Coturnix japonica: one gene and its partners. Each later gene encodes a partner of the first gene's protein in a complex. Links are inferred from orthologs where the notes say so. Each region holds a gene or a part of one and is shown in the gene's direction. Other genes may lie near its edges. The genes, in order: TAB1, OGT, MAPK14 and XIAP.

What was found.
Region 2: the proteins of TAB1 (region 1) and OGT are in contact, whole or in part, in a crystal structure (PDB 4AY6), measured with the Homo sapiens proteins. The link is inferred for Coturnix japonica from reciprocal best matches to the Homo sapiens genes TAB1 and OGT. Residues at the interface, in NP_006107.1 of Homo sapiens: Pro389, Val390, Val392, Pro393, Tyr394, Ser396, Ala397, Gln398, Ser399; in NP_858058.1 of Homo sapiens: Asp441, His506, His508, His509, Asn567, His568, Pro569, Gly641, Tyr642, Thr643, Lys644, Ala646, Gln849, Phe878, Pro904, Val905, Ala906, Pro907.
Region 3: the proteins of TAB1 (region 1) and MAPK14 are in contact, whole or in part, in a crystal structure (PDB 4LOP), measured with the Mus musculus proteins. The link is inferred for Coturnix japonica from reciprocal best matches to the Homo sapiens genes TAB1 and MAPK14. Residues at the interface, in NP_079885.2 of Mus musculus: Val385, Tyr386, Pro387, Val388, Ser389, Val390, Pro391, Tyr392, Leu405, Ser406, Leu407, Val408, Met409, Pro410; in NP_036081.1 of Mus musculus: Gly110, Ala111, Asn115, Ile116, Cys119, Gln120, Lys121, Leu122, Thr123, Asp124, Asp125, His126, Phe129, Val158, Asn159, Glu160, Asp161, Cys162, Leu217, Thr218, Gly219, Arg220, Thr221, Leu222, Asn272, Val273, Phe274, Ile275, Gly276, Ala277.
Region 4: the proteins of TAB1 (region 1) and XIAP are in contact, whole or in part, in a crystal structure (PDB 2POP), measured with the Homo sapiens proteins. The link is inferred for Coturnix japonica from reciprocal best matches to the Homo sapiens genes TAB1 and XIAP. Residues at the interface, in NP_006107.1 of Homo sapiens: Glu99, Ala100, Arg103, Thr201, Gln202, Leu203, Glu212, Asp213, Phe216, Arg217, Gln220, Arg241, Glu269, Glu271, Ile272, His273, Ala275, Gln276, Pro277; in NP_001158.2 of Homo sapiens: Phe33, Ala34, Ser38, Gly39, Pro41, Ser43, Ala44, Ser45, Thr46, Arg49, Tyr75, Ser78, Ala79, Val80, Gly81, Arg84, Phe92, Ile93, Gly95, Tyr97, Leu98.

What each region holds. Positions count from the first base shown.
Region 1 is NC_029516.1:46,232,109-46,236,450, reverse strand, and holds the start of TAB1 (TGF-beta-activated kinase 1 and MAP3K7-binding protein 1), read left to right. Parts: upstream 1-1,530; 5' UTR 1,531-1,629; coding exon 1,630-1,662; intron 1,663-2,249; coding exon 2,250-2,386; intron 2,387-2,549; coding exon 2,550-2,703; intron 2,704-3,331; coding exon 3,332-3,418; intron 3,419-3,961; coding exon 3,962-4,100; intron 4,101-4,342. UniProt on the Homo sapiens protein: Key adapter protein that plays an essential role in JNK and NF-kappa-B activation and proinflammatory cytokines production in response to stimulation with TLRs and cytokines.
Region 2 is NC_029519.1:2,160,067-2,164,385, reverse strand, and holds the start of OGT (UDP-N-acetylglucosamine--peptide N-acetylglucosaminyltransferase 110 kDa subunit), read left to right. Parts: upstream 1-1,483; 5' UTR 1,484-1,616; coding exon 1,617-1,653; intron 1,654-3,225; coding exon 3,226-3,406; intron 3,407-4,319. Other genes in the region: TAF1 (transcription initiation factor TFIID subunit 1), read left to right, coding at 542-758. UniProt on the Homo sapiens protein: Catalyzes the transfer of a single N-acetylglucosamine from UDP-GlcNAc to a serine or threonine residue in cytoplasmic and nuclear proteins resulting in their modification with a beta-linked N-acetylglucosamine (O-GlcNAc).
Region 3 is NC_029541.1:528,230-531,789, forward strand, and holds part of MAPK14 (mitogen-activated protein kinase 14), read left to right. Parts: intron 1-221; coding exon 222-351; intron 352-3,336; coding exon 3,337-3,395; intron 3,396-3,560. UniProt on the Homo sapiens protein: Serine/threonine kinase which acts as an essential component of the MAP kinase signal transduction pathway.
Region 4 is NC_029519.1:14,631,817-14,635,376, reverse strand, and holds part of XIAP (E3 ubiquitin-protein ligase XIAP), read left to right. Parts: coding exon 1-157; intron 158-1,874; coding exon 1,875-1,974; intron 1,975-2,890; coding exon 2,891-2,969; intron 2,970-3,500; coding exon 3,501-3,534; intron 3,535-3,560.

The sequences.
Region 1 (4,342 bases):
AGACAGACTTAAATGGCTGCCCTTATTGAGAGAGATGTTTCAGGAGGTTCTAAGAGTGGCTTGTTCTGCTTGGCTTGTTTGAAATCACACCTACCATCAAGTGTCTCTTACCTTATCAAGAGGAAAACATGAGAAGGATCTTGAAGTACTATATTAGGGGTTATTGTGAAATGGCTATAGTCACAGAAGGTGAAGATGGGGAATATGAAAGAATATGGAATAAACATCACTATTTTCACACCCAGGGAAGAAGATCTGTTTATTAGTTTGATGTGTCTTCTATTTATCTCTGTGTGACCATTGCTTGGGTGTCTAGCATAGCACACGTTTTCAAAACATAATCAAGTACTGGGAAACAAGAGCCCTCAAGATACTGCTGACTGGGTTTCAGTAATAGATAGCTCAACACTGAGGAGGATATCATTGCAATTTCCTCCGTGACAAGATTCAAAATAATGTTTTTCAGCAGTGCTTCGATAGAGCTTCCTTCTCATCCCCTTTTAATGCACCTGTCGCCTGAGTACCCAGGTATCTAACGTGCCAACCCTTGTGTAGCCTGAGGACGATAAGCACAAGTACATGATGGTCAACTGGCAGCATCAAGTCCTCTGGACTGTCTTCCATCTTGGGTACACACTGTAGCTGCACCTAAGCATATACCTAAATGTACTGATATACCTACCCATCCCTTCTTTCTTTGGACAAAGACCCCTTCCTTCCTACAGTCCTATAGAGATGCCATGCCCCTAGAAAGTCAGATGTCTTGGCAACAGGACAAGTTAAAAACTGATGAGGCCAAATGTTGCCAGAACCAAGCCTAAAGCTCTGCCCAAAATCTATTCTGCAGTGACAGCTCTCTCTCTACTGTGAGGGTGTCTCTGAATGCCTACAACAGCACCGTGATGGGGGCTGCATTATGCTCCCTGCTCTCCACAGCATATTGTTCAATAATGTTTGTTCATCTTTTATCTGCTAGCCCAGCAGGGTGACCAGTGGAATGCTTCTTCCCTTTCTGCAGAGGAAACATATGAACAAACAGGAAGGCAGTAGCGCAGCTTGGCACTAGAAATACTGTGCATATAATCCCTGGCACTGGGACCAGGGAAGCACGAGAAACAGTAAGTACAAAGAGGCAGAGAGAGAGAGAGAAGGAAAATAAAACAGGATGGCAATGGTCAGTGACCATGAGCTGCAGCCAGACAAATTAGGAACAGGACAAACATGCAGACTCCAATCGTTAGTCTCAGAAGGACACACTTAACAATATACGAGCACAGCAATGACTTGTAACTCCTCCTCTCATAAGGAGAGTCGCTGCAGGCTGCCCAAGGAGGTGGTGCAGTCACTGTCCATGGAGGTGTTCCAGAGCCGCGTGGATGTGGCACTGAGGGACTAGGGCAGGGGACATGGTGGGGATGGGCCGGTGGCTGCACCAAGGGATCTCAGAGTGATCCTCGCCGCCTCCTCATTGGGCGGAGTGACGGAAGGGGGCGTTGGCTGCGAGCGCTGCTCTCTGCGTGTGGGAAAGAGGGCGGGGCTGTGAGTGGCGGCCTCTCTGCCCGGCAGATTTGTCTGCTCTGGAGGGAGAAGGGCGGGTAGGAGGGAGGAGGCCGCTGCTGCTGCTGCAAGATGGCGGCGCAGAGGAGGAGTCTGCTGCAGAGTGTGAGTGGAGCCGTTCCCCCCCCCTTCCCCCTCCCCCTCCTCGCTCGCGCACCCCCTTAGGTGTGTGTGAGGAGGGACCCGCGCCTCCTCCTCGCTCTCCTGCCCGGGCAAGGGGAGATGCCCGCCGTGAGGGGAGGTGGGTGTCCCCCGTTCCGTGCTGCAGCAGGGCCGGCCCGCAGCGCTGTGTGGGGCTTTGGGCCCTTGCCTGAGGGGTGAGGGTCAGCCGTAGTGGGTAGGCCCGTGTGGGCACAGGGACCCTCCGTCGGTGTTGGCCGCCCCGCGGACCCGTTTTCTTAGCGGGGACCCCAGGTGTGAGGGTCCCATCCACTAAACTCACTATTAGTGCTGTGTATCAAGCTTGGGTGCAAGTCTCAGTTCTGGTTTCTTGTTGGAAAGAGCTGGGCATGCAACCAGAGCTCAGCTTCAGAGGGAAAGCAAGGGGTAAGTGATGCAGCTCTGCTGCAGGGATCATGAAGTTCTCTGGGAGGTGCTCTGCCCTGTTAGTGAGAGGGTGGGAATTAACCTGTAGCTCATCCTGAAGCAGCATTCTCACATCAGCCTTTACATGACCTCTTTCTGTCTCCCAGGAACAGCAGCCCAGCTGGACAGATGACCTACCATCCTGCCATCTCTCTGGGGTGGGCTCGGCTCCAAACCGTTCTTACAGTGCAGATGGCAAAGGTACAGAGGGTCACCCCTTGGAAGATAACTGGTTGAAATTCAGGTAAGTTGATTGTGCCTGGGTCACAGACTCCTTTACCTGCTTCTGTCTGCAGGTGATATTTAGCCTTTCACTGAGGACTCAGAGCATACAGGATTCTGGGGAAACCTGTTATGTCTGTCCTTGTATCACAGGCATCTGTGACTTCTTTTGCCTTCTCTGATAGGAGTGAGAACAACTGCTACCTCTATGGTGTCTTCAATGGCTACGATGGCAACCGAGTCACCAACTTTGTGGGCCAGAGGCTGTCTGCAGAACTGCTGCTGGGCCAGCTGCATGCAGATCACAGTGATGCTGATGTTCGCCGAGTTCTGCTGCAGGTAAAGCACCTTTAACTGGGAACAGCTCCTACTTCTCACACTACCTACCTCCTCCTTTTGCCACCAGAGAGCAGCATCTGGTTCTGAGGGGGTTGAAACATCTGCCAGTGGTTGTGCTTGCACTCATCCTGAGCAGCTGCAGTGCTTTGTTTCACTCCCACCTCGCACCCGTCTGTTCCCCTGGCTGTCAATGTGCTGCTGACAGCTCTCCAGGAATCTGCAGCCAGCCTTCACTGGACATGTAGGAGCAAGTCAGCCTGAGAAGGAGATGACAGGGAGTGAAAGGGAGAAATTAAGGCGTGGGGGGATGCATGTGCAAGATCACTTTCTTGAGTAATGGATGAGTATTTTTACAATCAACATACAAAATCAGATAGGTCTCTGATGTTGCTGTGTTTGTAATTTGTGTGTTTTGTCTCCTGTTTTGAGCACTAGCAGATTGCTTTCACAAGCTGTTAACTAGCTGCACTAAAATAATTGCATTTCAGTATGATGCTGTGATCCTTCAATATCTCTATGAACTGTAATCAACTGCTCTTATGAACTAGTCTTAGGAGATGGGGGTGGGTAGCTTCAAAGTTCCCTAGGTACTGGATAAGAGCTCGCTTTCTCTTATGATCCTTTTTAGGCTTTTGATGTGGTAGAAAGAAGTTTCCTGGAGTCCATTGATGATGCTTTGGCAGAAAAGGCCAGCCTGCAGTCCCAGCTGCCAGAGGTAATGTAGCCTTAAGGACAGAAGTTGCTGGAGCTCCCACCTTCCAGACTACTGGATGGGATGCTGATCAGCATTGTCCAAAGGAGGCTGTAATTGAAATCTATGTTTCTGTAGCTTTCATCTGGGAGCTAGTGTGAAATGAATGAAGTGCCGTGGTCTGTTCTGCACTGGTGCTACTTAGACCTATGATTGTTTTATTTAGTAAAGAACTAAAGGTGCTGTGGGAAGGTCCTCAGCCCTGTACTTACAGCTCTTCCAGGACAAAGTCATATGATGTGGATGGTAGGCAAGGCCTCAGATTTGCATGACACATGGGCAGATATGAATTCTGGTCTTGAGGTGGATTAGAGTGTCATCTCCAGAATCTTATCAAACCCATGTGGTTTATTGGGATTGAACAAATAATTGTATGACTTGCACATCTTGGCCTCAAGGCAAGACTGTCAAGATGAGTCCTCTTTCTTTATGCAAGTGTTGACTGTAGCTGTGGTTTCATTGTTGTGGACTGAGTGTTTAAGCCTCCCCCATAATCTCGGATTCCAGGGTGTTCCTCATCACCAGCTGCCTCCTCAATACCAGAAGATCGTGGAGAGATTGAAAGTTGTAGAGCAGGAGATCTCTGGAGGAGCCATGGCCATCGTGGCTGTTGTTCTCAACAATAAGCTCTATATCGCCAATGTTGGTGAGTTTTTCTTTGCTAGTATCCTGGTTAAGGTGCTTGTGAGCATGGCTGAAGTTCTAGGAAGCAGAAGCAATTTGAATGCTGGGGAGGGTTTCTCTCGTCAAGGAGTGATTTCCTTGTTACTTTTGGGACTGATAGATCAGTCTTAAAGGTCATATCTCTGCAGATATTGGCGGATACAATGTTTATGACCAAAGAAAAGGGGAAAATGAGTTGAGAGGTAGTGGAGATTCAGTGGGAAG
Region 2 (4,319 bases), on another chromosome or scaffold:
TCCCTTTGCATAGTGGTTTCTGAAGGCAATACAAATACAGCTTGTAATAGATCATCTCAGAAATGAAGCTGACTTTGAAGTTAAAGATGATTTGGCTGATTAACTTGAAACGTGGGTACTCAGTACTGCTACTGTCTGCCTAAACAAGTTGTACAGGCAAATTCTGCCCAAGCAGAGGTGATGAAAACCTCCCTGTAAGAGGGGCTGTGCTGGGTGGGGTGAATGGTCTGCCCAGCCCAGTGCCTCAGCAACTGGCTGTGTGGATGGGCTGTGCTCTGATGGTGGTTGTTGCACCGTCTGCCTTTCTATCTGCAGTGAAGGAGGCAGATAGAAGCAATCAGTTGCTTTTCCTGCCCTGAGTACATCCAGGACAGAGCAAAGGTGCTGGCAGTGTGTTGGTTCAGGAGAGCTGGGTTTTTGCTTTACACAGCTGACAGCATGGAAGCGCACAGTGGTTCCGAGTTGTTCCTCAAGGATCTCAAGGACCTTTTACAGGAGCTCACTGTGACAGAATATGAGCATACTTGTTTGTTTTTCCTAGTTACGGCAGCTACGAAGAGCCAGACCCGAAGTCCAACACAAGGGATACGAGCTTCAGCAGCATCGGGGGGTATGAGATCTCCGAGGAGGAGGAAGAAGAAGAAGAGCAGCGTTGTGGACCGAGCGTGTTGAGCCAGGTGCACCTGTCTGAGGACGAGGAGGACAGCGAGGATTTCCACTCCATTGCAGGGGACAGTGACCTGGACTCGGATGAATGACCTCCTGAGCGCTCCTTGTCCCTGCACTGACTGCTGCATGAGCTGCTCTCAGCTCTGTGCTTTCTGATGGCCCACATGGATCCGAGGAGCAGCGCTGGTGCTGCGTTAACACTGTGCTAACGAGGAGCAGCCTGCTCATACAGCGTTGCATATGATGTGAATATTGTTTGAATCAGCTGTAAAACACGAGACTGAGGGCACGGTGCGCAGTGGGGGGGTGGCCTTTATTGTCTCTGGAATCCCACTGAAGACTGTTAGTTCTTCATTTTAACAGATGTCAAATCGTTTCTGTTGGATCCGTCTGGGGAAGAGGAAGGCTGCTCGGAATAAAGCACCGTGCGCTTTGTATGATAGCTCAGAGAGCGGTTCTTTATGGCTGGGAGGTGAGCTTAGCCTTCCAGCCCCCTGCAGCGAGCAGCCGCCCCGTGTGTTAATGCTAAATACTAATTAATTCCAGTCCCCCCTTCATCCCCCCGACCCAGCACGGCCGGGCTGCACGTGCCGGTGGAGGCGACCAGCGGCGCATGCGCAGTGCGGCGGCGTTTGTCGCAATGTGTCGGCGCGGAGCGATCTCTCAGCTGACAGAGCTGCGCTGCGGCTCCGTGTGATACACATGGAGGGGGCGCTCGGCGGAAGGAGACGGCTGTAGTTCCGCTGTATCACTCCGCCGCTCGGCGCCCCGCGGGCTGGCTCCGCCCGGACTATTTGTCGCGGGGATGTAGGTCCGGCCGCAGCCATTCGATCGACGCCGCCTCCGCCAGCGCCATTTCGGGAGCCGCCGCCTCAGCGTGCCGGCAGCGCGGGCAGCTCTGTCGTTCTCCGCCTCCTCAGCCCGGCGCCCCGCCGGCCCCTGTCCCGATGGCGACCTCCGTGGGGAACGTGGCCGACAGCACAGGTACCGCCGGGCTCGGTGCGCTCCGCGGGTGCCGCTCCCGGCGGAACTTTCCAGAAGCGGCCGCGTGGGCCCGGGCCGGGCCGCGTGTTGGAGGCGCTGTATTTGTCCGTCAGCCGCAGCGGGGCAGGGCGGACAACGGGCCCGAAATAAACGGCGCTGCCACGGGGGCGGCCGGGGGGGAAGGGGCGGCGCGGAGCGGAGCGGTGTGGGGATGTGGGTACGGGAACGGGCGCTGTGCTGGGGGCCGGGCCGCTGCGCTGCGGGAGCACCAAGGTCACCGCTAACAGCCCCCAGTCAGCGCTGCTCCACGGCCTGCACTGCGGCCCGGCGCTATGCAGCTCCGTTAGAACAGGGGTAGATAACTGGCAGGAATGCTGGACCGTGAGGATGGGGAGACACTGGTTCATGTTGCCCGACAAGGATGTGAACGCCCTCTGCCATGCAGCACTCAGGGCCGGGTTGGGTGGATGGGGCTGTGAGCAACCCGGGCTAGAGGGGGGGGGGGTGTCCCTGCTATAGCAAAGGGTTGGGACTACGTGATCTTAAAGGCTCCTTCCAACCCAAACCATTGTGTGATTCGTTACAGCAGAGATGTGGAATTCCGTAGGGCCAGATAGGAAGTGCTGGACGAATGGGGCCCAGTGCACGCAGAGCGCTGGGAGCGTTGCCCTTCCCTGCCCTGAGCTTAGGAGGGGAAAATAAGAGGTGCTTGCAGTACTCAGGGCTTTTAACAGCAGGTCCGAGTGGTGTAAAGGCACCGCCTGAAGGGCTGCTCTTTCTCTATTCTAATGCAGAACAGTCCGGTAACGACTGGGTGCTCACATGGGTTGTTTTGTTTGAGCCCGGTGTTTGATGGAAGTAGTTTGTCTCCCCCCCCGTTGCAGCCCAGCCCCGGGAGCTCGCTGCTCTTCCATCAGATAGCATTCAGCCGCTTTGCCAATGGAGGAATTGTTATGCGTGGCAGATAACGCCGGCGGAGTGGAGATTTAAAGGAACGCTGCGCATTACGCCTTTTTCTTTAAGGGCTTTCACAAGATACGGATCTACTGGCACAGCAGAACTTCCTTTAGTTCGAGTCCTTTGAAGTTTGTGTCTGTGGTCCTGCATTTCCCTGTGAGGTTTTTAGTGCTTTTCAGAGCTAGGAAGTGTTACATGCCCGGTCTGGGGATGGGGGGGAGGGGGCAAGGAAATTCATTGTCTGGCTCTGCTGCCTGTATGAGCCCAAGTAACTGCTTTACAGTAGGATTATCTTAACTGCATTCCGTTAACTTGAAAAATACATGAAGTTGTGTAACCGTAATGGCTGTTTTTGTTTCTAAACTGTTAACTGGTGAAATCCCACAGCAGCAGCTTGGGGCCTGAAGATGTGAGAGCACAAACCTCCACCTGCTGCGTTGTTTTGTGTCATCCCAATCGTTTTCATCCTTTAGTTTTATACGCCGTTTCTTTTTTGGTTTGGTTTGGTTTTGGTTGGTGTTTTATTTTCGTTTAGTTTCTGTTTGGTTTCTTTGGTTTGGTTTCCATTCTCTAACTTTTTGTTTTCCCCCCTTGAATGTTTTGGTGATTCTCCAGAACCAACGAAACGTATGCTTTCCTTCCAAGGGTTAGCGGAGTTGGCTCATCGTGAGTATCAGGCAGGAGACTTTGAAGCAGCAGAGAGACACTGCATGCAGCTTTGGAGACAAGAGCCTGATAATACTGGTGTGCTTTTATTGCTATCGTCTATTCACTTCCAGTGTCGCAGATTGGACAGGTAGGATGGAGATGTTGCGTTCAAGCTTCTTTTGGAGTTTGTGCTCCTCATAGTATCGAGCACAGTTAATAGAAGTGCTTATCTGACATTGGCTTTAGAACTGAATGCAGATGCTGACTTGATTCTAGCAGTAATGACTGGCCAGAAATAATGTTCTTGTTTCTTGAGTTCTTTTAGGGTAAGAGGAATACAAGTGGGAGTTGCTAGCTTTGCAGCAAGCATCAGATAGTGCTGTTACTCTCATGCCGTTTTCGTATTGTATGCTTGCATGCCCCTGAGTTATTTGCACATGCAAACAAGGAGCTTTCATGTATTCCACCTGCAGTGTGCGTTTAATACTTTAAGTTCTGAGTTTGATTGTTTACAGTGAGATGGCATTGCTTAATTAAGAGTTGTCACTGCTGCTTCTGCCTGCCTCTCCCTGACCTTGTGTCTGTCAAGCCTCTGGGACTTTAAATGTCTGTGCTGGTGAAGGAAGTAATGACTTGTAACTGGGATTTACTCTGTAGGCTTCTGATTGAAGCTGTAGTAATAATTTAGATGGGGGAAAATGAAACAGAGGAGAGCAAGACAGAACTTTAAACCTATGCTTGTCTGCTGTATTCTGTTTCTGAAAGACTGTAAGTGAAACACTGCATAGAAAAAAGCATGCAAATGTTTGAAGAGGCTTAACAGAGTATTTGTGATGGTTTCTCAATCCACGTAGAGCTCAGGTTTGAGGAGGAGACTTGAATCCTGCTGATTGAGCTGGGTTGTCTTTCTCAGTAGAACCTGCAGTGGGGACAGGGGAGGTGGTTAAACAAGGAGAAGCTACATGTAAGGTAGCTCTGTAAGCCCACGTATGTTGGCTGTATGTTTGCTTTGCTTAAGCATGAATGTATATCAAACAGTAAACAGGCAGACACTCCTATTC
Region 3 (3,560 bases), on another chromosome or scaffold:
CTTAGAAACGCTATCAGTAAAACCCAGCATTTATATCTGTGTGTGGGAATTTGCAGCCAGGTTGCAGGCCAGGAAGCCTGGATGTTATTGGTGGTGGAGAGGGAGAAATGGAATCGGCTGTGTGACTCAGTGCCTGCGCAGCCTCTATTTGTAGTTGCTAAATGGATTTGAGGGTGTTTATAAGTGATTCATTTTGACTATTTGATTACTCTTTGTTGTAGTTCTGCCTTTGACACAAAAACTGGGTTGCGAGTGGCTGTAAAGAAGCTGTCCCGACCATTTCAGTCTATCATCCATGCCAAAAGGACCTACCGAGAGCTACGGCTACTGAAGCACATGAAACATGAAAATGTAAGTAGAAGGAGATTATATGAGAAGCTGGGCTACCTGGTGTGATTGCATTCCAGGCTGATTGCACAGGTTTTTCAGATAGTAAGTACATAGCTTGCAGTAGACAGTGAATCGTGATGGAAGGCTTTCTTTCTTGCTTTGTGTCATCATGTCAGAAAGGGTTGGAGCAGTTGTTCACTAGATTCCTGTAGATGAACAGGAATAAAAAAGGGGAGGGGAAGATATCAGACATCTGTTCTTGTAAGCCATCCATTTCAACAACACAGACCATGAATGCTTATACTAAGCTATGCTATATGCTGTCTAATCATTTTTTTCTGTTTAACTTCCATTTGCTGTGGAAACCACTTGAGCAGTTCTTTGTGTTTGTGGCATTAACACACTGGTATATTTATATCGCATGCTGTTCAGAGAAAATATTGCCTGCAATTGAGCAAAAATTATCTTGCCTTCTTTAGAGCTGTCAACATCAAGAGAAAAGGAAGGCTCTTAATTTTTGTACAAGTGAACTCCAATGTAGCAGAAGGGAAATACTGATTTAGAAGTGGACTGAGCAAGCCTAGTGTTTTTAACGCAACAAGCAAGCCCAATTTTGATGGGAGCTTCTCCCTGAATGGTCGGATCAGAACTTCTTTTGTGGCAGTGGTGGTTTTGTGCCGTGGCTTCTTTCTGCCACAGCAAGCAGATGGTATTGCTTGAATCTTGTTTGTGTTGACAGTGTGGCTGATGTAATTGGACCTTTTGGTGCACGCGCAGCCTGAACTCAGCAGTACTTCCTCAGTGCCTCTATGTGATGCTGTTATCTGAGTAACAGAGGCAGCCATCCATCGATCCTGCTTAATATCCATCCCCCTGAGGTTTTTTTTTTTCTCTACCTTTTCTCATACCAGAAATATATTCAAAGCTTTGCTCTGGAACTGTTTGGAGAATGTGTTTAGATGTATCTCTGCATCAGCACATTGATCCATTCTGTCTGAGCTAATTGGGTTAGATTTCTATGATTCTATGGTTCCACAGTGGGAATTAGCCTGGTGCTACAGCAGCTCTGTGTCTGGTGTTCATTAATACTTTTGAATAGTGTCGTGAAGTGCATGTGTAGCTTTGAGAGTAGGAGATAAGATTATATTGTTAGAATTTTTTTGTATATAGAAGTGTTTACTGTCAGTTCATCATACTGCTGTCTGTGGGATTTTTATCTGGGTGTGGTTTAAAATCTTGCAGATGTGAAGATGCTCAGAGCCAGTTCAGGTAGGCTGGTTAGTTCAAGCGAGCTGTCTATTCAGATCTCAGTTTGGAAGTAAAATACCCTGCTTTACATGACGTAGAACACTTCAGCAAATGTGGTAGGTACAATGTTTCAAGGATCTTGAGCAGGGATGGTTTTCTGTTCTATATCTAGACTGATTGTGTTGATCTTGAACAAATAAATCGGCCTGTGGAGCAGTCAAGCATGGTTCTGTTATATGTTCAGGCTCCAGGAGGCCTCATTAGCTTACATAAGGCAGAATACTGAGCAGGTGTGAGAGTCAACTTTAGTGTTGTATGAAGAAGTTAACAACCTAAAATTGAAGGGGAGTGCAGAAATTCAGGAGCTGATTCTTGGTCTGGGGATGACCAGTATGGTTAGAACTGTCAGTGTTGTGCTACAGAGTAATTGCATTTGTGTGTGAAACTAGTCAGTGAGAAATATATGGATAGTTCAGTAGTGTGCTTTACACTGTAGCAAGATGGAAATGGTAAGGGAGGAAATGGAAATCTTGGTAACAAGGTCAGTTTTTGGTTTTTTTTTACTGCTAAACTGGGAGGATAATGTTGCATAATTTTTGTAAACGTTGGCATGGAGAAGTCCACAGAGCAAAGAAAGCATAGGAGTTATTTTGAAGCATGGATGTTAATGGTAAAAGGTTGATTTTGTCATCCTTAACAATTGCAATTGATGGTATTAATATGTGCTGAAAGGGAACGTTGGCATCCAACACTTTGTTTAATATGTATGTTTGAACCACTGCTGAAGTTACTGAAATGTGTGTGATGCGAATGAATCCAAGGCAGGTGAGATGCAAGCCTAAAATAGGAGGAAGGAGTCTGTACCTTTATTTCATAATCCTAAGTAATGCTGTGCTGTTAAGAGAAGGATAATTTTTAAAAGCAAATCTCAGTGGAAATTCAAACAATTTTATGGACCAGATGGATTGTTTTCCAAATGAAATGTCCATGACCTATTCCTTATTGCCTACAGAGTGATGAGGTATAATTGTGCATTTCCATGAGGTAACACATACGTTCCCTTTTGCTCTCCACTGCTGGAACAGCTTAGCTGTGAAAATGAGGGGTAGAGTGGAGACTCTTAGGGCAGCAGATATAAATGGCAGTGTGAAGCTCTCAGCTCTTAGTGAAATTTGGCTCTGTGATGCAGCATGCTGTTTTTGAGACTCATTTCACTTCTTATTTTCCAGTGTAGACATTATTTGTTGCTTTCAGCAGAGATTATTGGTGGTTTCCTTCCTCTAGCTATTACTCAGTGCGAGTGAAAAAAAGTCTCCTGCTGCTGATCTAGTATATAGTCAACAGCACAACTAAGAACCTAGCAGGAAGCAAACTGATTTCTGCCTCGTGTTTGCTCATCCATTTATTTACTCACCAAACTTCAGCTGGGTTTTAAATAAGGTATTTTTAACCAGTGCTGACACTTGCCTTTTATTGCCTTGGCTTGCTGTGGCTCCTGCTTGATGTTGTAAGTAGATGGTTGGTGTAAAAGACAGCTGTATATTTTGACTATCTTTTTTTTTTTTTTTTTTTTACTTAGTATTTGAATGCTTGTTTCTGACCTTGTACAAATACTCATTTGCTTACATCCAAATGATTCATATAGTTGGAAATGAAACATCTGTTGGAAGGAGTAGTTTCTGTTCCACAAAGGACCTTACTGACTGTATCATTCAGATGATTAATGTTTTTCGTGACTTTTTCACTTTGTTTTTCCAGGTGATCGGCTTGCTGGATGTGTTCACCCCTGCCAAGTCTCTGGAAGAATTCAATGATGTGTAGGTAACTTCTCTGGAGATTGCAAGAAAAGTCTTTTGCATCTCCCTTCCTTTCCCAGGCTATTGTAGGAATTTTGCTGCCTTGATTTGTCATTATTTTGAATCAGCTGTGAAATTCAGCACAAATTACTGGGATGCCCCATGCTAATGGACTCTTCCAGCTTG
Region 4 (3,560 bases), on another chromosome or scaffold:
TCTATTTGTACAGAGCTTGGGAGAAGCTGTCTAAGCAACGAACAGCATCCAAGGAATCCATCCATGGTAGAATATGAGAGGCGGATACAAACGTTTTTAACTTGGATATACCCTGTTAACAAGGAACATCTTGCTGAAGCAGGGTTCTATAGCACAGGTAAGATAGACCCCCAAATGGCGATTACATCTTACAAATAAATGTTGTGCAAATATGTTTTATAATGAAAAATATAAGCACTTTCCTATTCTAATGCAGAACGGTTTGCCAGACTTTTAGTAGAACTGGTATTCATTCTGCTTTCCTTTACAAACTACTTCTTGTGTTTCTCTTGCATGATTACAGCCACCCTATGAGAATGTTTCTTAGCACAATATCAAATTGTCAGGTTTGTTTGTTTGCTTTGTTAGCAGCAGAGCATCAAAATAAGTTTTCCTTACCTGCTAAAACCCTCCTAATGTATCTTTTACAATAGCAATAACTGAAGCAAATAGTTTTAAAAAATGAAGTGCTGTCCTCCAGATAAACACCTCAGGTCTAAAGAGCAACTGTGTAGCTCTGAAGCTTCTGAACCAAGACAGTGCAGGTTATATGCCATTTTAATTAGTTAATGTGTTTACATTATCATGGCATCCAGACAACCAAAAAAAGCAAGTGCCATTATTACCTAATGTAAAAGCTTTATGAAGACGAGGACTCTACTGGAAGAGATTTTACTATTAGGAATCCAGTGTATCATCTGGATAAGGCTCTAATATCGTTGTGCATTGCTTTTTCAATCTGGAGAAGGCAAATAATTCCTTATTGAATTGTGTGGTGCAGATAAAGCTCTTTGAAATTCTTTACTGAGAGATGCTGTGCAAAGTTGTGCTATTATTAGGTCACAAAGAAAAGGGGATTATCCAGGATAATTTCTTGCTCTCATCTTAATTGGCTTCTCCCTTAGTAGCTCCCAGAAGAGCTTTTTAATCTGATACCATTTGCTTTGCTTGTGGCCATAAATAAAACTCTTGATATATTCTTACATAAGTGGAACACAGGTAATATTTGTACTCAATAGAATTGTTTTATTAGTTCCATCTTGGACTCCTGACAGTAAGTAGCTTACCTTGGCCAAGAGAGATCTATACTGTGAAGGTGAACTGAACAGGCAGTTTAAGAGACCAAAAGGCTCTTTAAACGGCTTTGCATTTCTGGTAGGCTGAGACAGAGTTAGTTTTGGTGAAAAACAAACAAACAAAAGTACCCCCTCCCTCTTATTTCAGTCAGCACAGAGTCTGAGAGAGTTCTGGTGCAGTCTTTGATGGGGGTAGGCACAGTGCTAGTGCTGAAGGAATGCTATTTCTTCAGAAATTGCCATCAGTTATGCTGCTTCTATGTAGAACCCATTAATTTTAATGGTGAAATGAAGGAGCAAAGAACACTCTTTTGAATGAAATTCCTATTAGTAATTTCTATTCTTGCTTTACTGTTACTTGAATAGAAAACAGAACTGTGGTCATGAGGACAAACAGATAAAGTTGTGTCAGTTCCTTTCCAAATAAACTTTTTGTGGTAATGACTTAATGGCCTGTTTATCAGAGGGATGCACTATCTGATAATAGACTCTTTTTAGCATTTGCTTTTTAATTACTTGCTATATCAGAATTCTCAAATATTGTATGTGACTCTATTTTATGTGACTTTAAGGTCAACTTTTTTTTTTTTCCTGAACGTTTGTTTCAGATCATGTTTATTATACTCTTATACGGATTATTTTCCAATTACAATTTCCACTCAGTAATATAAATGTTTGTTGTTTGTAATAATGTAGTGCTTCAGCTAAGAACTCCTTGTCAGTGCATACTAAAAATATGTAACTTGGGTGTTTGCTAAGGTAATGGTGATCATGTTGTGTGCTTCCACTGCGGTGGAGGATTGCAAGAATGGAAGGAAAATGAAGACCCATGGGATCAACATGCCAAGTGGTTTCCTGGGTAAGGTATTTTTTTTACAGTTTTCTTTTGACACTTCATAGAACTGTAGAATCCCTGGAGTTGGAAGGGACCTTTAAGGGTCATCTAGTCCAGTGCCCCTGCAATAAACAGGGCTGTGCACATCTGAGTTGTCTTCATAGTATTTTGTTTTTATGACAGAGCCTACTAGTAAGGTCTTTAGAAATCTGACTGTGACTTTGATGCTGTTTCTATTTATGACAGTGGAGGGTTTCTTTTTGTTAGCACATCCACATTGGTGGCAGTGTTTCAGATTCTCACAATATGCTACATAGATGATTCCAAAATTAATGTCTCATTTATTTACAGGGAAACTACAACAGATGCAAAAAGCACAATTGCACTGTCTGATAGAGCAAATTCTCAGCTATAAAGCATTATTTTTCAGCATAGTCACCACAGCTAGGTATGTGTTTTCACCAGCAATGAACAAGAATCTATTTGCCATGCTCATATAAATAAATAAAATCTGCCCCAGCTACTGCCCAGTAGCTTGGACTGGTTGGAAAATAACAAAACACAAAGCATCTGCATTACCAGTTGCTGCTTTTCTGTGATTACAAACTACTTAAAGAACCAGTGTTTTGACATGATGTTAGTTATTCATTAATTCATTGGAGTTTTTTACTACTATAAACATGTAGCATGAGGTGACATGGCCAACAGTTCCTTAGCTTCCTGTTTCACCAAATCTGCAACACATAATTACTGCTGAAGCAATTAATAACTTTTTAGAAGCACTTAGGTGATATTACTGATGTTGATTGTTCATTTTGAAGTTTGGGAAGCAAGCATTCTATGTGAGGTAGGAATTGTATCAAACCTTTATGAAGTTACAATATCAACTTCTGTTTGCTGCTTATGTAGTTATATGATAACTAAATATTTTTGTTTATAGGTGCAAGTTCTTGAGAGAGGAAAAGGGAATAGAATTTATTAATAATGTTCACTTAAGAGATGGATGTAGGGATTCAACAGTAAGTGTCTTCTTATTGATTAAATATTTTACTGAAGTAGAAAACAATCATAACCTAATTTTCGTATGAAGTCAATCTTCTGATCATCTGCATAACTTTTTAGTCTTCCTGCTGCTTCTTTCCTTGGCAGAAAGTAAAAAAACATTGAAGTATGTTTTGATTCTGCTATTTGAGCTTCATAGATTGTACAGTTGTCCCTACTTAGATAATGAATGCCAGCTTGGGTGCCTTGTGGGTTGTTATATATTCCATACTGAAATGCTAATCCTTGTAGGCTGGGAACCAAGAGCCACGTACATATTATTGCACCAGAAAAGTGTTAAAATGAAAATGTAACAAAGTCTGAATGCCATAACAAAGTATGAATCCCTTTGCCAATGTTTAGAGCAGAGAAAATCTGCTCTAACTATAGTAGTTTTACTCAATAAAATAACTGAGGTCAAATAGCTATTTTGTGTCTTATAACTGTATAGGTCTCCTCGTACTCATTCCAGAATTGTAATTTTTTTCATCTTTCTATTTATTTTTTAGATAGAAGCTGCTGAAGTTTCAATACTTCCTGAAGGTATATAGTAAAAATAACAATAATAA